Linked DNA regions of Arabidopsis thaliana. The protein of the gene in region 2 purifies or fractionates together with the protein of the main gene of each other region. This does not show direct contact. Each region holds a gene or a part of one and is shown on either strand. Other genes may lie near its edges.

Region 1 (6,714 bases), on a different chromosome or scaffold from region 2:
GGTTCTCAATGTTTCAACTAACATCTTAGCTATTCTAATTGCGTGTGTACCTTCGACAATGATGATCCCGCAGAAAACAAGCAAGGCAGCATCCTCGTATGGTACCTACAAAGAAGAGAAACAAAGCTTCACTAAAAATGCTTAACAGTAGTAAGAACGCATAAACCAAAGTATCCAATATGTTATTTTAAGATTACAGAGCAAAGCGTTGCCCCAAAACTAGCTGCAAATCCAAAACAAACCTAAGTCAGTAACAGTAGAGATATAATGAGCTAGAATAAAGAGCAGGCAGTACATATAGCTTTGGCCACCAATAAAAAACATCTATTAAGGAACACCTAATTTGAATTAAGAGATTAAAAGGCATTTCCCTGAATCCACCAGTTGTCTCTATCTCTTTCTCCCACCACGTTCTCTCAAAGACAGTGTAAGGATTTCTCCTGCTCCCACATTGTAATGAGCAAGCGACATGTTGTCCTTTAAGAATCCAGATTTTCCACTTACTTCTGTTTGTTTGCTGGAATTTGCATTTCCCCAGCTATTTTCTCCTTCAAACTTCCCACGTTTTCGGATAACGACTGCACTGTGATCTCCATGACTTGTCCATCATTCTCGTTTGGCTTAGAAACCCTGATTGTAGCCGGACCCTGAAAATGTGTAAAACAGGTAAGATACAACTCAAACGAAAGAAGAAAGATAAAAGATAAGAAAATGAATCAAGAGTCGAAGAAAATATTACCGGATGCTGAGCAAGAAACTGGTCTTCTGGAACAAGGGCTGACTCATCGAGCTTCTGTCTTTTTGGCTCTGGCTCCTCAGGAAGAGGCGGTGGTGCCTCCCCGGGTGGTGGAGGAGGAGGCATCTCAGCCATAGGTGGTGGTTGCATCATCCCCATCGAAAGCGGTGGAAGCTGACCATAAGGTTGAGGAACTTGCATATGAGAAAACTGAGATCCCGGTGGAGGCGGCACACGCATAACAGGTTGCATTTGTGGTGGTCGACTCATCATCATTGAAGGATGTCCATGTGGCCCAGACATAGAGAGCTGGTGTTGTTGATACATGGGCTGCATCATTGGAACACCTAATGGCCTTGGTGCACCAGGGTACTGAACAGAAGGAGGAGGACGAGGAAGGTTCAAGGCGAGATTTTGAGGTGGTGGCAGTGGCCGGACAGTTGGGACACCTGGTCGAGGAGGAGGAAAAGCAGCTGGACCAGGGAAGCTATTGGGATCACCATAAACGCCATCGCCTTGCTCTCCATTGGAGTTCTGAGTCAAGGCTTGGTTTGCTGTGCGACCAATACTTCCAGTGTGACCATCCCATATTACTTGTTTCGGTTGCTCATCTTTTTTCTCAATATCTGCTTTTACAGCATTTGAAACTTCTTCTTCTGTTGTTCCAAAGATATCAGGACGGAGGCGGGCCAACCCGACAATGTTTTTAGCAATCTCATCATCTTGTGCGAGAGTTGTCTCACGAATCTTAGCAAACATCCGATCCTTCTGTTCTTTAAACTTAGGATCAATAAGAGAAATCCTCATGTGCTCAGACATCTCGGTAATGGGAATCAGCTCACCAGTAATCCGTGATATAACAACTTTACTCGAATCTCTCTCTGTCAGAAACCTATCTTCAGGCCTCTTCCAGTTCTTAACAATTCTCATTGGTGCTTCTTCTTCAATCTCCACAGAGCCAACATACTCTTCCAGGTTCGCTGCTCTCATTCCTTCTGCAACAAGCTTAACTTCTTCTTCATCCATATCCATCTCAACTTCCTTTCCAGGCTCAACAATTTCATCTTCTTCCATGGCTGAAACTTTGCTCCTCCTAATAACCTCCTCAAGTGTCATAGGCATTGGCAAATCTTTATCCTCCTCGTCTGCAAAATCTATAGACTCAACAACTGCAAAATCTTTCCAATCAATCATAACCATCTGCACTCTCTCCTTCTCTTTCTCATCCTCTTCTTTGTTCTTCTCCTCCTCCTGGAAACGATCCCACTCAAGCCGATTCAAACAACGCTCGAGAACAGTCGTCAAATCAGCAACACTCTTTCTCAGCTTTTCTTTCAAATCTCTGGGAGGCATCAATACTTCAGAATACGCATCAACCAAAGAAGTGAAAAAAGTGAACATACTATGTGTTGGCTTCATAAACTGAAACTGAGAATTATTCACCTCTCTACGCATCAATTCCCTTAAAAACGATTGACCATTCCGCGCCACAAACTGCGCCGTGTGCTTAATAATATCAAGCTCAGCCTCCATGATCCCTTCAGGAAGTCTAACAGTATACTTCTCAGGTTCAGGTGCTTCTAAAATCTTACGAGGAGCCCTAAATTGAGCCTGAAGGTCAGGTTTTGCATCAGACTCATCATCAAGTTTGGGATCTTCTGTATCATCTACATCAGTACCTTGAGCTCCGTCACGAATATGACAACTATACTCAGTGACCTTGTACCGGTAAAAGCCATGATAAGGATTATCACTTTTCAAAAAGCTGAAATTAGCATTATTGGCTTTCTCTGTTTTAACTTTGTTTCCAAACGCCAAACCGTTTTGCGAAACAAATTGAGCCGTTGTCTCGACGATTTTTCGGATCTCTGGAGGTGGATAAATGATTCCGATTGGATTCGTATGAGTAGCCACAGCTATGGGAGTTTGAATTGAATTGTTTTGCTCTCCTTGAAACTCATTCTCTTTGATTTCTTCATCCGTTAATTGCGACGGAGGAAGTGGACCTAAATTCCCGTCAGCAGGAGGAGCCTCCAGTGGTAGTATCTTCATCGAATTGAACATTTTCTGCAGCGAGCAAAAAAAAAAAACACATTAGCATCAGATTCTGATGACATTGGGAAAATCAAAATTGAGCATAATTGACCTAAGAAACATACCGTATCTCAACCGATAAGGAATAGCACCGCCGCGAGAATCGCCGTGACGTGGAGAAGAAGAGAGGGACGGAGCAAATCGTGATCTAAAAGCGTACAAGACGGATTCAATGGAAATCGATCTTCGAGGGAAGAAACCGCACCCTAGAATATATATATACTCTGTATTCAAGTTTGTTATTGGGCTTTTTCACTTGGGCTTAAAAAGTTGTTCCATATAAGTTGCTAGACGCCTAAACCGACTATTTTCGATTCGTCAACGATCTGCATCATTATATTAATTTATAAAAAAATCATTTCTTTTTCTTTTTTCTGTTAACAACAGAGACTTATATTTGATTGTATATGGTTGATACAGATAAGGAATCAAATGCATGAATATAAATTAGAAAGATATATTTTATTATAATAGCATAATATTTTTTTAAAAATCCTAAATTCATACTATATTTAATCTAAATTTATTTGGAAAAAAAAAGATTATGTAAGTTTTTAGGTTAAAATTTTGAATTGTTGGCTTAAATCTGGTGTTAATTCAATATTTTATCTTGAACTGAAATTTGATAAATACTTGATTTTAAATTAGGTTTTATCAAATTTGGATGTTATTTACAAGTCAAAGTTACATAATATTATGGAGTTTTACATGTTTGATTTTGTATTTCATCTATTTAATTAAAGAAAAAAACACTCTATTCTCACCCCCAAAAACAATATTTTAAAAAATGAGGAAAGAAAAAAATTCAAAATATTGTTGTTTATTCAGCTTTGTTAATTACTTAATTTTAAGTTTTTAACCATGGTCTACCAACATGGACCCAACCCACTAAGGTCAAAAGCTACGTTGATCTTGGTCGTTTGGAGATGAAAAATAATGGAAAGGACCGGTAAATTAGTAGTTAGGTGTTCCATTTGATTGACAAAAAAGGTGTTCCATTTAATTTCAAGAAATCTTTAAAAAAGAGAGCACTAGCGATTGTTAATTATTAACCAATCCACGTCACTAACCACCTGAAAATGTGTTTTATTTTTCCCACATGCTAAACACTTGAGCATTACATTACTAGTACTGACTACAGTACGAGTGATTGCTGATCTTTTGTCCCGGACCAGAAAATGCTGACAAACGTCATATATGTTATATGACGTCATGTATTTGACTGTGTGCAAATCGACCTGGGCTTACCATCGGGCCCATAATGACATTGATCTTACAAAATAGGTATTATATTATATTTTAGTTTCATTTAATTTAAACTAATTATACATTGGTGGTTTAGTATAAAATAAAATTTGGAGACAATACTTGTTCTAATTCGAAATTTAAATTTGCTGAAACAAAATGATTCATTGTACTTGTTATAATTCAAAAATTGTAGTAGAAGCTTGGTAATTTTAAAATTACTAATTATAGACTTGTTTATTCTTTCAATTCAAATTTTAAAAGTAAAATCCACTTTAGATTTTTCGATATGATACATTAAGAATATTGACTATATGGTAATAATTAATAATCATTTAAGTATTTCGAACATATAGATAAGAAAGCTTGTTGCCTAAAATCATATAACCATCTTTGAGAATTTCCTGATAAGGTACTTATAAATACTCTCTCTTTCTCTTTTGTTTGTTCTTGCTTTTCAGCATATTCTTCTCTTTTGCTTTAATTTCTTTGTTATTTATTCTTCTTCACGCTTCGTTTATTTATTTGGTGTCTACTGAATTTTTCTTTTACTAAAGAACAAAAGGGTTGGCTAGGGGAAAAAGGGTAAAGAACAAAAAGCACGAACATGCAAAAAACATAATATATCAAACGAAAAAAAGAAGAGAACTTTTTTTTTTTGTCAATACATACAAAATCTTGATTTCTTAAGAAAATTTGTTTAGTAAGTTTCTAAGATATCTATTATCTTGATTCTTTTTTAAGAGGTTTCTAAATAATTAGAAGGAAGATTTCTAAGAAAATGGAAAAGCATGTATACTAATATACACCATTTCTCATTATATACAACAATAGGTTTGAACATGTCAACCAATGATTAGTCTTTTTGAAACATCTCCAGTACATATTATAACGACCCCCCTCTAATAGCCAATATTAATTACATATATGATATATCATCCCTTAGTTCTTATAATAGTAATTGTGCCCCTCCCTAATGTTTGTATCTTCGTGAATGCAACCACGGCTTTGCCTGATAGACCCGGTCCATCTGCAGAGACACACGGACGACATGCAAAGTCTCCAACCGGATGTCGAACCGGCCTAGCCGATGGCATTAAAATCCTCTTATTAATGTCATTTAGAGTTATATCTTCTTCTCGACCACCTGGTTTTACCACTCCAAATGGATACACCACCCTCTTCTTCTCGTCATAGTCATTCTTTTCTGTAATGCACAAGTGTTACGTCAGTGTTTATTCGGGATCGGACTTTGTGTTTAAAATGCTTTGCATGTGATTAGAAACACATAATTTTATTAATATTAAATATTTTATAAACGCAAAACGCAAATGAATAAAAGTGAAATTTCATGATTGATTTGTTTAATTATAGCTACTGTGGACAATTACGCATAAACAAAAACGAAAAAGTCCCATATAATTCACTACTTCGGAAGAAAATACAATATGCTTACTTGACGTGGACGAGGATGGTTCGAAAGAGTTTCTCGACGAAATTGAGGATTTTTCTTCAGAACATATATTGATGGAAGAATTTGGAGATTCGTCTGTTTAAATATAAGAAAATTATTCACAAAGATTATTCAATTAACTTACTATTTATATTAAAACAGCACTAATGTATTGATCATTTATATGTTAATAGTATTAAATAATAAATATGCCTCAAAAAAATATGGGTGATAATAATAAAGAAGTAGGTCTCACCTGCAAACTGACTACTCGTGCAACTATAATTCTCAGACAGACCCCAATGATTCTGCATTATTATATTCCGCGATCAACTAAATCAGTTTCATAACAAATGAAAAATACGGAATAATTACGTAAATGACAAACCAAAAAACAGAGTAGTAATTATATAAACCTGAGAATGGTCTAAATCGTTATCTGGTTTGTCCTCGGCGCCGTTGAACGAGAGACGTCTCCGTTTGCTTCTCCCACTGAATTCAATGAGTGCGTCTTCAAGGTATCCGGTGGAAACGTCCCCGATTTCCATCTCCGGTGAACAGAATATATTCTCCGGCGATTCATCAATGAGCCCCCATGCATCTACAAGTACATTGCATGGCCAAATTCCTCACATTATGTGTGTGTATAGAAAAAAAAAAGTATATATATATATATATATATATATATATCTTTAATGAAATTTTCTTGAATTACTAGCACAAATTAAATACATTCATCTTACAACGAAAATATACTTTTTCTTTGTTTGCACGAATCCACCAGCAAACTTAACATAAATCATTCTATAAATATACATAAAAGAACTGTAATATAAAATCGTTGTTGTCTATACCTAGATTGAAGTTTTGGTTGAAGAGTGATCCAAGGTTATGGAGATCCCAAGAGGGGAGAGAGTATGAAAGCTCACTCATATTTTTTTTAATGATTTGTGGATTGACTGTGAATGTGTTGAATTAAGGTGAGACCATGTGGCTGCCTATATATCTTGGTGGGTTGTGAGTAAAAAGTTAAAATAAATTGAAATTAATCCAAATAAAGCATGAAAATGGAAAAGAAAAAGGGGAAAACAAGTTAAAGCAGAGAAGAAATTTGGAAGGAGAAAAATCAGTACTCAATACAGTCAACTATAAAGAAAAGATAATTACACTAATGGTTGGACAGTCT
Region 2 (11,045 bases):
ATTTTAAAGTTTTAGCTAAATTATCTTTTAATTAGTAAAATATGAATAATGGGGAAAATAAGAATAACGTTTTTATTTAACTTTTTTTTATAAAGACAACAAACAGAGAGTTTCGCTCCTCCGGTGAGAAAGTAACACTTTGATATCGGAGAACACACACTCTCTCTCCCGGGATGGAGAGTTTGGCTCTCCGTTCAATCTCACTCTCAGCCTCCTATCTATCTCTCCATCGATCTTCCTCCAAATCATTTGCGTTACTTCCACCGTCGATTTCCGTACACACATCCCCAACACTCCGATCACTCTCCATCTCTTCCCCTCGATTCACTCTACGCGCCACCGCCTCTTCCTTGCCGGAGGAACAAAACAAACCTCAACCTCCCCCTCCTTCTCCGCCGCAGCCGCAAGGAGCGAAGCTAATTCCTCTCGCGATCTCCGTCTCAATCGGCCTCATAGTCAGATTCTTAATCCCAAGACCAGAACAAGTAACCTCACAAGGATGGCAATTACTCTCAATCTTCCTCTTCACCATCTCAGGTCTCGTCCTTGGTCCTCTCCCTGTAGGCGCTTGGGCTTTCATTGGCTTAACCGCTTCAATCGTCACCAAAACGCTTCCTTTCTCAACCGCTTTCGCCGCTTTTACCAATGAGCTCATTTGGTTAATCGCTATTTCTTTCTTCTTCGCTCGTGGATTCATCAAAACTGGTCTTGGCGACAGAATCGCTACTTATTTCGTCAAGTGGCTGGGGAAAAGCACTCTTGGTCTCTCTTATGGTCTTGCGTTCTGTGAAACGCTTATGGGTTTGATTATGCCGTCTACCATGGCTAGAGCCGGTGGCGTTTTCTTGCCGGTGATTAAATCTTTGGCGATCTCCGCCGGAAGTTATCCCGGAGACCCATCTTCCAGAAAATTGGGTTCTTTTCTCATTCAAACTCAATTGCAGGTAATAACTCAAAGACTCTAATCAGTAACTATAGCTTGGTCTTTGGAAATAACATCAACTATGTTCATTAAGCATTAAATGTTTGGAATGAGAAATTGTATCTTGAAGGGTTTATGTTTTGTCTGTGACAGTGTTCAGGAGCTTCTGGTGCGATTCTACTCACATCAGCTGCACAAAACTTGCTATGTCTCAAACTAGCAAGAGAAGTTGGTGTTGTAATCTCGAATCCATGGATCACTTGGTTTAAAGTCGCTAGTGTTCCTGCGTTTGTGTCTCTTCTTTGTACTCCTCTCATTATCTACAAGCTTTACCCTCCTGAGTTGAAACACACACCAGAAGCTCCGGCTGCAGCTGCTAAGAAGCTCGAACGATTAGGTCCCATCACGAAAAACGAATGGATCATGCTCGGCGCTATGGCTTTCACCGTCTCTCTTTGGGTTTTCGGGTACGGTTTCTTGCAGAATTTGAACAAAGCATCATTAGTATCATACAAGAGAAATCGCATAAAACTATTTAGTGTCTAAAACTAGACGTATTGATACATAAGTCTATAACTACATAAAACTCACTAAAAAAGTTTTCAAAATCAACGTTAACCATATTATGAACTTTATTTTTCGTATCTCCTTGCAGAGAGGCAATAGGAATAGCAAGTGTTGTGTCCGCGATGATAGGTCTATCAACACTTCTGCTGTTGGGAGTCATAAACTGGGACGATTGTCTCAGTGACAAATCAGCTTGGGACTCTCTCACTTGGTTTGCGGTTTTGATTGGTATGGCTGGACAGCTAACAAACCTCGGTGTCGTTGCTTGGATGTCGGATTGTGTGGCCAAACTGCTACAATCTCTCTCCCTGACTTGGCCCGCGTCATTCATTATTCTCCAGGCTTGTTATCTCTTGATACATTATCTATTTGCAAGCCAAACCGGTCACGCGGGAGCTCTCTATCCGCCTTTCTTGGCGATGCAAATCGCTGCTGGCGTGCCTGGGGTTCTAGCAGCGCTTTGCTTGGCTTTCAACAACAATCTCTCTGGTGCTTTGGCACATTATAGTGGTGGACCGGCTGCTTTATATTACGGAGGTCCGGTTTCTTCTCTTTCGAAGTTTTTATCATATTTCTCATATCCTTAGTTATCGAATTAATCGACCATTCAACACTTTCTTACAAAAAAAAATATTGGTCTGGATCTGCAGCTGGGTATGTAGATCTGAGAGATATGTTTAGAGTCGGGTTCGTGATGGCTCTTGTACAAGCGATCATCTGGGGAGGTGTTGGATCTTTCTGGTGGAAATTTTTGGGTCTCTACTGAACATATAGAACCGAAACCATTCCCTGAGCGTTTGACCGGAACCCAAACCAGTCCAAACACAACCATAATTTCGGTTTTGAGGGTATCTGATTCAGGTTCACACAGCCAAATACCAATTGGTTTTCTTGTGTTCGTATATTAAAGATGTAAACCGTAGAAGTTAGAACATTGTATGTATGTATCCTGTTTTCCTTCGGCAGCGAATTCTCAGTTAAACCTGAACCAAAATCAACCACCATAAATTCGGTCCAAATTCAGTAAGATTTCAACGAGTAAACCAAATTTATGAACAAACTGACACAACCAATTTCCACAGTAATATATGTTCACTCAGTCTCGCAATATGAAAGATCTAAACAGCTCTGCTTATTTGGAGTCTTGACAGATTTCTACGTTATTTCATGAACCTGCAACTGTAATGCATACAAATAACATGAAACTTAAGTCAATAAGAAATAACCAAAAGTGAACATAGGTTTTCTAGTTATCAGAAAAAGAAAAGAAACGTTTCTGTGTTTTATACAAAGCAAACCTTTGCAATAAAGCCAAAATACCAACAACTACAGGTGACTAGAGAGTAATAGAATCACATCGAATCCAGAATCTTTCTTTCACACAAACATCGTCAACTCCGGTCGGCTATACACATTGTTCTGCTCGTCTTCAAGAACCGGGTAAGCAGCAACAAGGGTGTCCTGAGCACCAATGTATAAAGAATTGTATATCTTCCAGTACACTTCGCGGACCTTGCGCGCCGGATGAAACAAACCCTGCAAGCAATAGTTCAGAATTACAGCTGCTCCTAATGCGACTCGCATTCCTTCAATGGCTTCCATCACTGCGTTAATGACGTGAGGAGATGTCTCAAAAATGTTGGGCCAAATGAAGTTAAGCAAGTGAACCAAGGCGTCTTCGCATCCCAACCCAGCTACACCTAGAGCCATATGTTTCACAGCTGAAGCAGCCGTTTGTCTATGAACCAAATCCCTGTCCATGAGAGCGTCTTCAAGCAACGGTGTAACTGCGTATATGTAATCTTTGCCCATCTCTCCAATGTACTCGAAGAGGAAGGAGAGAGATTTCAGAACACCATTTTGGACGTTTAGCTCTGGAACACGGTACTCATTCATCAAAGCAGGTAAGACGGTGAAGGGAGAGCATGTTTCAGCGACTATGGCGATTGCAACTGTGGTGCAAACACGGTTCTGACGTTCTTGGACTTTGAGATTGTTAAGCAACGTGGCTAGAACGTCTTGTGGCCCAATGGCTTTGGCAATGTACCCAAAAGTGTTGACAGTAGCACGACGAATACCTTTCTTATGAGCTTTAAGCATTTCAAGAAGCTCGAAACAGATTCTCATCCATTCTCTTGCTGGAACAAACTCGGCACCACGATCAGCAATCCTACCAACAAGATCGATACAATTCTCTTGCACTTTCTCATGCCTATTCTTCAAAATCGGGGTCAGCCTTGGTAGAAGATCCTTAATAGGAGGAGTCATCTTCGTCATACCAATCACATTGACTATAGCTTTTAAAGCCCCAAGAATCGATCCCAAGACTTCTGGGTACTCTTCTCCAAGATATTCATACAAAACAACACCTAGATGTCCCATCAACTGTTCCTCTCCGCATTGCTTCATAACAACTGCAATTCGAGAAATCAGATCAGCAGCTTGCTGTCTTACCTTTGCACTCTTGTTGTTCAATCGCCACTTGATGGTACCACAGATCTGGGGAAGATAAGGCTTTACTCGCTGACCAAGAGCATTTACTACAGCACCGAATCCATTAAGCATCACATTAGCATCGTCACTAGTCTGTTCTTGAAAAGCATAAAGAATGCCATCTATGAGCAGTTCCTCCAACCTCGCATCAATATCAGATGCTCCTAAGTTTGTGACAACCTTATCAATGGTTTCCATAACCATACGTCGATACTGTTCACTCTCGTCCTTGAGATCTTCAACAACTCTTCCCACAATATCTGCAACACCAACCTTGTTCGCAACCTCCACAGTAGTTTCAACAAGCTGCTTATAGTTTCTCCTCTCCAGAGCCATTTTCCTTGTCCAGAAATTCCTGAAAAACTCGGGCAGAATATCACTACGAATGTATTCCGGTTCAACACCCTCTGTACTTACACACTGTTTCACCACCTTGAGGACGATCTTCTTCATCTCTTCATCAGGCGACTGGAACTCACGAATCAAGATAACCATGACTTCTTTTGTATAGTAGCTCGCATATATAGCATCCATCAAGGGAATGATAAAACCGATCGCCTTCAAGAAAGCAGCTAAAACTTTACCACGGTGCGACCTAATACCTTTCCACAAAGGCTTCAGAACAGAATCAAAGCTCTCAATACCATATGGAGCAGCAGCTTCAGCAAGAGCAGCCAGTGACAATGCGGTAATAGTCCTAACCTTCTGGTTTTCATCACTAAGACCATGTTCGATAATCTCTACCAAAGACCTTAAGTGAGGCAGGACAGCACAACCAATTAGTATCGCAATCTGCTGAACAATCTTGATTCCAGTATGCCGTGCCTGCCATGACCTTTTACTCTGGCACACAGCTTTCAGGAAAGGCAAGAGTGCAGGGATTCCAAGAGCTGAAGCCACCACACTGAAAGCTCTCGCTGTTGTGTTCCTCACATATTCATCGATGTTGTCAATATCAGGACGCATAGCTGCAATCATAGAGGCCAAACCAGCTGCTTTGCTAAGGTTAGAAATAATCTCTCTCCCTTCTACACGAGCATAATAATCTTCATCAATCAGCAAAGGCTCAATAACAACAAGGATTTTGTGGACGTAAGGCCTTACCATCTCATCAAGTTTGTACAGAATTCTATCAATCACTTTGACCAAAAGATGCCTCTCTTGATCTTCCAAAGTGGGTTGCATGAGCAATGGCAAAATTTTATTGAACAAAGGACCAGCACCAAGTTCACGAGCCTTATCAGTAAGCTGCCTCAGCGCTGTTTTCCTCTGGGGAGGAGTTCCATTTTTAACCTTTAACAACAGTTTCATTATCTTGCGTTCTTTCTGCTCTTCAGGAGACAGCTCTTCTTCGTTCTCTTCATTTAACAGAGAACCAAAATACTGATAATCCTCTGGTTTCATAAACGGCAAACCACCAGGAACTTCTGGGGGCACATCATACTGTTGCCCACGGTTTTCCTCAGGAATAACATAGCCAGGAGTTGCCATGGGTGTCGGGGTTTGTTGAAGTTTCCTCGCAGGGGTTCTGATGGGAACATACGTAGCAGGCGGATCCAAAACCTTGTATCCATCTTTAGGAAACATGGCATCAAGCTCTTCATCACTCAATGGTCTGTTTCTTTCCTCGATATCCTTCTCCCACCTTTGCATATTGAGCTGCTCGGGGGTCATAGGACCACGGAAAATAAGCTGACCCGGAGTCGGAGTAGCCATATCAATCCCACCAATTGGGGTAACACCAGGAGTGTAAGCTGCACCAGGAGTGACTCCACCCATAGGTGTAGCACTCCCCATAGTGGCTGGTGTTTCGTCCCACCTTGAACGTTGACGCTTTGGGGTAGGCGTGGCAAGCCCGTCCCAAGTAACACCTGAAGGAGTAGCACCGGGAGTAACACCACCACCAGGTGTTGCATCAGAATCAGTCACACGACCAGGTGTAGGAGTTTCGTCCCACCTGTTCCTTCGTCCAGCAGATGGTGTGGCATCAGAAACTCTCCCTGGAGTAGGAGCATCCCATCGTCCAATCCCTGGAGCTGCATCAGGTAAATCCCAATCTGAACTTGCTGCTTTAGCCTTCTTTGCAGCAGCACCGTCTTCTTCAGGGAGATCCCACCTGTGTCTCCTCTTGGAAGAGGAAGAAGAAGAGGAAGCAGGAGGAGGAGGAGCAGAATCTTTCTGATGCTTCGCAGCAGCTTCTTCTTCCTCTTTCTTCTTCTTGGCAATGAGTCTCATAGTTTCCTCTTTCTCCCTCTGCAAAGCCGTCTCCCTCATATGGTCCGTGTAAGTACGAACACTCGCATCCGGCGTTTTGTCGCCCATAGCAAAGGCATCAACTCTATCCGGAGAAAGAACCCGATTGAGTCTCCTATTCCTATATTCACCCTCACGTTCGGCAATACTCTGCCTAGGTTTAAATCCCACATCGTCATCTTCGTTGTGAGGACGAGCCACGTCGTTAAGAATTGACCTAGGAGCAGTATAAGACGCGAGGCGCTGAGCCACAAGAGAACCAGTGGTGTCCAGATTCGCATCATCCTCCTCGTTAGGTGCAATAGAAGTCGAGTAGGAAGCACGGTCGTTACCTCCGTATAGATCGCGATCGAAAGTCAGAGAAGTGAGAGAAGCAAGGTCTGCTTCCATCTTCCGTCTTTCCTCCTGAGTTTTAGCGATCTCTGGATCTAGATCCGCCATTATCAGATACTCAACGAAGCTTTCTCCAGCAAAAAAAGAAAGAACTGAGAAAATCAACAAAGCAGTGAATCAGAAGAAAACAAAACGAAATTGAAAACAATCGGAATCAATCAAATACGAGAGAATAGAATCGTATATCGAAACGAAGATTGGAGAATAACTCACCGGTAATCGGAACTCGTCTGCGGATGATTGTGGGGAGGTAGAGCGTGAGAAAAGGATGAACTAGGGTTTATCCAGATGAAGCCAGAAAAAAAAATTATTTTAGGATTTGGAGAGTTATTGAAACCGACCAATTGTGGGGGAGTCGGTTCTTAAACTTCGGGTCAAGTTTTAATTTGGGCTAATAACTTTTATAGATTGGGTTCAAGTAATCAAAGCCCATAAGCCCAATTATAATTTTGGTCACTACGTCTGTTCTAGTGGCCATATTTGATCAGATAATTAGAAGCCCAATACAGATAAGGTATACAGCTTTTATGCAGATAAGCTGGCGTATATACCTATTGCTGCATACCTCCTTCTTTTGGCCAACATTGAAGTTGAATAGAAACTAACTAGAAAGGCTTTCTTTCACCCCCGAAGCAAACAAAAGCCTTTGTTAATTTTCATGTTGAATTCAATCATATAGGTGAGCCAATTTTTCGGTTATTAAGTTTTTAAATATACGAATAACCTTGTACTTTTTCCAAAATACATAGAGACAACATGAACTATTTCAGGTACTTTAAAATTTATGATCAAAATAAATTTTCATTTGGATATAAATTAATATATTCCATAAGAATTTGGAAATTTCAAATTTACACAAAACATCCTTGTAAAAAGTGTATGCTTACATAATTTTCTAATCATTAATACACACAGCCACGAATTTTATTTAAAATCTATTATATATGTGTCGTAACCCTAAAAGATATAACAAAGTGTATTTTATTTAGCATTATCCTCAATTCGTCACTAGCTTATTTATTTCCACATATAGCCGAAAGTCCGGATCCACTACAACTTAATCAGGTTTATTATTATACAGAATGCATGATAAATTATGTCATGATCAAAATCAGTATATATAAGCTACATACTGATAAATAAAATAAAAGGCATATAAATGATTGATTGAATCTAGATGAGCCTTTTCGATACTTAAATGTTTCAAAGTTTTCTTTGGCATAAAGAACGGAGGCAAGGGAGAAGAACTTCTTCACCAACCCCACTGACCATTTTCAGAAAATACTTAATACCTAAATTACTAAAATTTGTAGGAATTTCGGTGATTAAATTCACTAGATTACTTTTTCACCTGACAATAATAAATATTACCCCCATTTTGAGGTATTTTGATTGCTTTAAGAATTCGGAAGTTTCCAAATTTGAATGTTTAGTTATTTGTTGTTACCTAACAAATAAAGATAGATTTGTTTAGTTCAAAGAGAACAAACTTTAGTCGCCATTAAAACAGTTAAGGATAGATTTGTAGTTACAGATAACATATTATCATGCATAAAAAAATTCAAAAGTTACTAATAATATGAAACGAGTACTTACAAAGCAATCAATTTGGTCTCCTAGGCCCCAACACATCTTCCTTTCTTTAGTTATCAATTTTATTACAAAATTAAATACAACAAATAACATTATTATCCTCTATACCCACTAACATTTTTTAAAAAGGTCAGATACCTTTAAATAAATTAATTAGTACTAATACAAGCTTTGATCATTCTTGCTGCAAAACCGAATGCATTATTAAATTTGATAAAGTAGAAACAAAATGATTTTTTATTATTTTATATGCATTCTTCACATTTCCGAGTACAGTTTTTACACGTCATTACAAAACGACAAAAAGCAAAGAGAGAGCCCTATCCACAATCCAAACCCGAGACCCAAACCCGAAAGATTTTTTTATACACACGCTCGCGTGCAACTTGATTTTGACTACACATGCCGTCTAGATCTCGTCATCGCTCTCACTACTATGCCACGTGTCTTACTCACATCCCTTGGATCAAACCAGAGTCTTGCACGTCGAACTCTGCGGATCCCACATCGCCGGCAATAGATATTTCCTACCGGCGAGTCCACGAGCGTTGTAACTAGACCCGGTTGTTTTGTCAACAAGTACCCGACCCGCGTAACCCGGATAAGAACCTGACCCGAATATACCAGGACAAGCAGACACAGCTTCAAGCGGTGCAGTTGGTGGGCCTTGGTAATATCCGTTATTAAACGGATTCGTCACGGTGTTAGCTAGAAGTGTGGCAAGGTTTATAATCATTCCGTCAACTCCAACGTCACCGTTAGGCGCTACTAACGGCGGCGTTTGTGGTCCGTAAATCGGCTGGTGAAACGGCCACGCGCAATATCCAGGGCACTGCGTCTCGGAGTTCCCGACCCATACGTAAGCCGCGCCGTTAGCTGCGCGACGGGGATTCGAACCGGAGGATCCGTGAGTCCCGCACCGGCTCATACAGAATCTTTCGACGGTAACATCTTTCGCCGTTAGAACGACGGTTATGGAACGGAGACCGCCGTTAAGTTTGGTGGATAAAGCACGGAGGTAAGGATTTTTGAGAGATTTTCCGAGAGGATAGTTCTCGAGTAGAAGCTGTTTCCCGACGACGAGTGTTGAAGAGCCACCTTTGTATTTCTCCGTCGTCTTCCACCACGAAGCAACGGAAGGAACTGCGGCGGAAGATGCAACGTCTTTGGAGTTTAGCGAGTGGATGAAATCGACGATTACGGACCGTTGGATCGGTGTGAATTTCCCGTACCATACGAGATTGACTGTGATGTTACCTTTCAACAGAACTCCGTTGTGGTATTTCATAACAAGCGGCTGCTCCTCGACCAACGCGGCGGCGGAGAAACCAGCGGTGGCGAAAAAGAGAGTGAGGAAGATGGCAAAACGGTAATTAGAAGCCATTGAGAAGGGTAGTTATATCAGATTGAAGAGATATAGGAGAGGTTTTGATTTGGGGTTTATAAAGATATACAGAGGTATTTATACCAGAGATGTTGTTTTGAAACCGAGAGAGGAGTGTGACAGCTGTAGTGGCTAAGGTGTCAATATCAAAGATTGCCACGTGGAGAGATGTGAGTGGGTAGGGAAGGGTGTTTGACAGCCTGTAAGGTTCTTATAGTGTGACGTGGTTTAAGTCTTCATAACGTGTATTAAATTTAAGTGATGCTTAGCCGATAAATTTGTTATCAAACAAAGAAAATAAAATTAGTGTAAGATATTTTGCCATGCAGAGAGACAGATCCATTTGTAAAAGAAGATTAATAAGTGAAAAAAGAAACTTTAAAAGTAGTGTTTAGTAAGATAGCTTTATTCTCTGAATGCAGTAGTTTTCTTTTAATCTTTGAAAGTCTATTAATACAAACCGAGTAAGTTTAAATGCAAAACCCACTTTAAATTTTAATGCAAGAAATTGATTATGAAATTCAGCTAATAGCTACTAGTATTAAAATGTAGTTATTAGATCAACTGGTTTTTTAAAGAAATTGGTTGTAGTTGTTTTGGTTTTGAATACCAAGATATACATTGATTCAACACATATATTATCAGAAACCAGTTTGATTTGACTATATATTTTGCCATTGTTTCAATTACACATATCTTTCCCTTGTTTCAATATAAACATAAATCTCATCTACTCTTATATATTGCCATTCATGATTAACCATAGACTTATATACTCTTTATAAAGATCTGTATTAGTTGAGTAACTATTTTTCCGTCTAGCATATAAACACATCCTATACACATTTTTATTTTCAGTCACCTGCCAACCATGAAATTTTAATATCACTTTACACTATGCCCAAAAAAAACAAAAAAAACGTCGTCACTTTAACTCGTTCTCTGACTCCGCCTCGCAATCTCACATCATGAGGCATGGTATTGGACATGCTCTATACGCAAATACATTGAGCAGTAATTGTTTGACCATATAATAGAAGAAAAGTCCATTACTCGTTCTAATAATACGGTTCTGATACCAAAAAAAAGAATTCTATATATTAAGAAATGAATTAAAGAGATTTGGGATTATTTAGGGAAGGTTCCTTCCTTTCCTTCCATAGAGGCGCCACTGATTTTAAGAAAGGTACACAGAGAGGTTGATGATACCGTGTGTGTGCCATAATCAACTTTACTTGGGGGAGGTCCCTTTAGGTCTCCGTGGGGACCACAGATTCATACGTATTTTACTCTAGAACAGTGTGTGTATTTATGTATAGTTATATACTTATAGCTTAAGGTGTATGTATATAAATATACGGGTGCACTCGAGTAGTTAGTTCAGTCGTGTAGTAAGCAAGATACGCCTCGACGTAGCGTACGAACCACGCTCTTACAGTC
Region 3 (4,524 bases), about 24 Mb from region 2:
GGCCTGAGAGATTTGAAGGGAGTGAATGGAAGGTCATGAGTGAGAAGATGATGTCTTTTGGAGCTGGGAGAAGAAGTTGTCCTGGAGAGAAAATGGTGTTTAGATTCGTTCCAATAATTTTAGCTGCAATAATACAGTGTTTTGAGCTGAAAGTGAAGGGAAGTGTGGATATGGATGAAGGGACTGGATCATCTTTGCCTAGAGCTACACCTTTAGTGTGTGTTCCTGTTGCTAAAGAGGCTACACAATCATTTTCTCTACTAGAACCAAATGTCAACTTCTAGCTAATGATTTCGAAGAAGAAAATGAACAAAGAGCAAGAAAACTTTACACTTGTGTACTTTTACTTATACTTCGTTTACGGCAATTCTGTTTTATACATAAAATAAACTAAGTAGTTGAAACAAACTTAAGTCAGTTACATATATGTATATAGTTTTAAAACATCTCTCTATTTAACATGAGTTGAGAGATTGAATAGCATTTACCTGCATCCGTTTTTACCAAGACAGTGTTAGGATGTCACCTGCTCGAACATTGTAATGTGCAAGTGACTTGTCATCGTCCTTTAAAATCCCGGCTTTTCCCCTTAACTTCAGTTTGTTTGCTACTTTCTCTTTCAAACTTGCCACGTTTTCGGATAAGGACTGCACTGTGATCTCAATGACTTGCCCATCATTGACGTCTGGAACAGAAACCATGATCGTAGAGGAACCGTGCAAATGTATGACCGCTAATTAGATACAACCAAAAAAAAAAACAGAAGGTAAGAGTCAGGAGAAAACATTACCGGATTTTGAGCAAGAAACTGGTCTTCTGGAACAAGACCTAACTTTTGTTTTGTTGGCTCTGTTTCCTCAGTTAGATGCTCCATGTGTGGTGGTGGATTCTTAAGAATTGAAAGGTATCCATGAAATATTGGTGATATCCTGAGCGCTTTCTGAATTGTTCTGCCCCGATTTCAAATCATTCTGCATCATTTTTTTTCCTTACAAAACGAAAAACATTCAAATTAGATTCGAATGAATATTCCCATGGAAAAAGGAATCGGCAAAGCAAATGACTACTGAAGATCCCGGAGAGAGATAAGAACAATCGTACTTCAGTCCCGCCGCGAGAACCGCCCTGACGTTGAGAAGAAACGGCTTCTTAGATCTAAAGCTTGGAAATCAAGGAAACGGTTTTCCAATGGGCCTTATTAGTTGGGCTTATAATTTCGATTCATACTAATTTTTTAGACCCACTTAATTTGATTGGAATGAGTTTTCTGTAGACTTTTTTTGTTCAACTTTTTCCGTTAATCAATGAAATCAAGCTAAAACATTGGTTCATGCTTTTATTAATCATTCAAAATAAAAACACAATTGTCACTAGACTTGATTAATTATTTGGTATATCAGAGATAATGCTTGGTTTTGCTGGAATCTTCACTTGCAACTAGGAAGAGGTGCACCACATAAACACTTGTTGTGGAAAAAGGAATAAGAATCAAATCTTTGAATATACTCTCCTTTGGGGATGCGTCCACACAGTCTGTTATAGCTAACATTCAGTAACTGAAAATAAGCTTTGCTCCACTCAGCCGGAATACTCCCTGTGATGCCATTGTGATTCATGTCCAAGTTATTAAGTGTCTTAGCGAGCTTAACCTTGGAGAGATCGAACTGGAACATGTTTCTTGATATATCAACGATCCATGTTGTTTTTTTAGCTCCAAACAAGATTGAAGCATCGCCTTGAAGCTTGTTCCGAGATAAATCGATGCGGTAAAAGTCGGGATTGCCTAGTGACTTTGGTATAGTACCAGAGAGCTGGTTGTGTGATAGGAAAAGACTAGGGACCTTTCCTGAAAACGTCCCAAATGACTCTGGTATCGGACCTATATGGAAGTTTAAACTTTAGTTTAGTCCATGAGATTAATGGATATGACTAATAGAGACAAAAAAAAACAGAGTTATTCACCTGTAAGCTTGTTCCTACTAAGTTCAAGATACTCGAGTTTACGTAATGAAGAGAGGGAACTAGGTATGGAACCAGAGAGGTCATTGAAGGAAAGGTCAATGTACTCAAGATTCTTGAGCTGACTCAGAAACTCAGGAACCGGACCGGTGAGATTGGTCCAGCTTAGTCTGAGAAAAGTGAGGTTCTTGAGCTTGGCGATAGTGGGTTGGATGTGACCAGTGAGGTTAGTGAGTTTGCGGAAGATAAGGGATGTAAGATACGGTAAGTCACCGACTTCAGGGGGGATCTGACCGGAGATCTCGCCGTCTTGTATGATTAGGGAAGTGACACGGTGGTTGACAGTAGCGTCGCCGCACTCGAGGCAGTACCAAGAGCAACAGTCGGTTTTGGGATCCCATGAGGCGAGGTGGTAAGGGTTGTTTAGGGATTTCTTGATCTTGAGGAGGGTAGTTTTGTCATCTTTATGACAGAGATCTTTAGCTAAAGAAGTCGTGAGGAGGAGAGTGGACAAGAGCAAGAACAGTGTCATTGTCTTATCCATAGTGTTTTTGGTGTTTGTGTTTTGAGTTTTTATGGAAACTATGATTGATATACATATAGGCTATGAATGCATGGTGCGATACAGATGTAGTAATGATTTTGCTGACTAGACCACGTTTTAAACAAGTTTCGGTGCAGAAATTTTGGAATTTATATTTGTGACGATTTGAGAAATTTGGGAATTTGGAAGAATAAGGAAATCAGGGTTTTTCTCTTCTTTTTTTTTTTGTTTAAACCAATCTGGTTTTACTTTTCAAGTTTGGATATAAACCCAAATCGAATCGAGAAACCATACCAAACCACTCAGAGATTCCGTTATCCATATTTCCCCTGTTTTTCCATTAAGGTAGGATTAATCCATCAAATAAAACATTTTGAAAATGTGCTATGAATACATCAAATGAGAGGTTTGGTTCATGTTTTATTAATCAATCCGAATAACATTACATATTTGTCTATATTATTGACTCAAATATATTTTTTCGTAATCCTAGAGATAAGCTTGGTTTACTTGCAAATTTCAAGAGGAGCACCACACAAACACTTGTTGTGAAAATAGGAATAAGAATCAAATGTCTGAAGTTTCCCTCCAGTTGGGATGTGTCCACACAGTTTGTTGTAGCTAACATTGAAGAACTGAAGAGGAGCTTCAGTCCACTGCACCGGAATATTCCCAGTGATCCCATTGTGGTTCAAGTCCAAGATACCAAGTGTTTTAGGGATATCAACCTTTGAGATATCGAACTGGAACATGTTTCTTGATAAGTCAATAGACCAGGTTGTTTTGTTGGAACCAAACAACATCGAAGCATCACCTTGGAGCTTGTTGCGGGATAAATCGATCCGGTTAAAGTCGATGTTGCCTAATGATTTGGGTATTGGACCGGAGAGCTGGTTATGTGATAGGCGAAGGTCAGGGACTGTTCCTGGAAACGACCCAAATGACTCTGGTATGGAACCTACAACATAAAGATCGTTGTTTAGACAAGACACTGAATGATGTAATAAAGGAAAAGATCGTTCTTTACCTGTAAGTTTGTTCCTGCTAAGTTCAAGAGCCAAGATTTTAGGTAACGTAGAGAGAGAACTTGGAATGGAACCAGAGAGATCATTGAAGGAAAGTTCTAAGAACTCGAGATTCTTGAGCTGACTTATAAAGTCAGGAATTGGACCTGTCAGATTCGTCCAGCTGAGCCTGAGCATTCGGAGGTTCTTGAGTTTGGCGATGGTGGGTTGGATTGTACCGGTGAGGTTAGAGAGTTTGCGGAAGACAAGGGTCTCAAGATACGGCAAGTCACCGACTTCAGCCGGGATCTGACCGGAGATCTGGCCGGAGAATATGGTTAAGGCGGTAACACGGTGGTTAACGGTGGCGTCGCCGCACTCAAGGCAGTACCAGGAGCAACAGTCGGTTTGAGGGTCCCATGAAGCGAGGTGATAAGGGTTGTTTAGAGATTTCTTGATCTTGAGGAGGGTGTTTTTGTCATTTTGGTTACAGAGATCTTTAGACAAACAGGTCGTGAGGAATGTGAACAAGAACAAGAGACACAATGTCGCTGTCTTATCCATGGTGTTGGTTTTGAATTTTGATGGAAAGTGTTAGTGATACATATACATACTATATAGTGAGTGATATAGACTTAGAGAGACGGATTCGATTTGATCTCTGTTTCCACATGGACCGTAATAATAGTCAATACATATCATATAGTCAAGATGTCGGCGTTGAATATGTTTGGGTAATGCAATTACGCGTTGTATATAATTAGGCTATAACCGGTGCAAGTTATATCTCCTTGAAGCATTTGGAAATGTATACTGAGGCAATGTCTTCACCATCTAATACAACTTCTCAAAAGTTCATCCAAATTTAAGTAACCCAATTGATCTATCCAACAAACATAAGATTTGAGAGAAAGTTTAGATTTTGGTTCATATTTATAAGAAAATATCGAACAAAGTTTATGGTCATCTTCAAATCGATCCGACCGTTGGAAGAGATTTATCACAAACGGCTCTATT

What was found. The genes of interacting proteins can lie anywhere in the genome.
Region 1: the proteins of AT5G64270 (region 2) and AT1G14640 fractionate together in Arabidopsis thaliana (co-fractionation; one large-scale study listed by BioGRID). This does not show direct contact.
Region 3: the proteins of AT5G64270 (region 2) and AT5G06890 fractionate together in Arabidopsis thaliana (co-fractionation; one large-scale study listed by BioGRID). This does not show direct contact.

What each region holds. Positions count from the first base shown.
Region 1 is NC_003070.9:5,019,742-5,026,455, reverse strand, and holds AT1G14640 (SWAP (Suppressor-of-White-APricot)/surp domain-containing protein), read right to left. Parts: upstream 3,031-6,714; 5' UTR 2,896-3,030; intron 2,805-2,895; exon of another isoform or gene 2,804-2,804; 5' UTR 2,801-2,803; coding exon 740-2,800; intron 648-739; coding exon 501-647; downstream 1-500. Other genes in the region: AT1G14642 (uncharacterized protein), read right to left, coding at 51-92; AT1G14630 (XRI1-like protein), read right to left, coding at 5,011-5,282, 5,532-5,624, 5,785-5,836, 5,945-6,129, 6,383-6,461.
Region 2 is NC_003076.8:25,702,540-25,713,584, reverse strand, and holds AT5G64270 (splicing factor), read right to left. Parts: upstream 6,978-11,045; 5' UTR 6,842-6,977; intron 6,721-6,841; 5' UTR 6,677-6,720; coding exon 2,867-6,676; 3' UTR 2,256-2,866; downstream 1-2,255. Other genes in the region: DiT2.2 (dicarboxylate transporter 2.2), read left to right, coding at 174-944, 1,076-1,389, 1,578-2,026, 2,140-2,255; EXL2 (EXORDIUM like 2), read right to left, coding at 8,688-9,605.
Region 3 is NC_003076.8:2,131,920-2,136,443, reverse strand, and holds AT5G06890 (Ubiquitin-like superfamily protein), read right to left. Parts: upstream 702-4,524; coding exon 501-701; downstream 1-500. Other genes in the region: CYP93D1 (cytochrome P450, family 93, subfamily D, polypeptide 1), read left to right, coding at 1-284; PGIP2 (polygalacturonase inhibiting protein 2), read right to left, coding at 1,428-1,879, 1,963-2,503; PGIP1 (polygalacturonase inhibiting protein 1), read right to left, coding at 3,010-3,461, 3,531-4,071.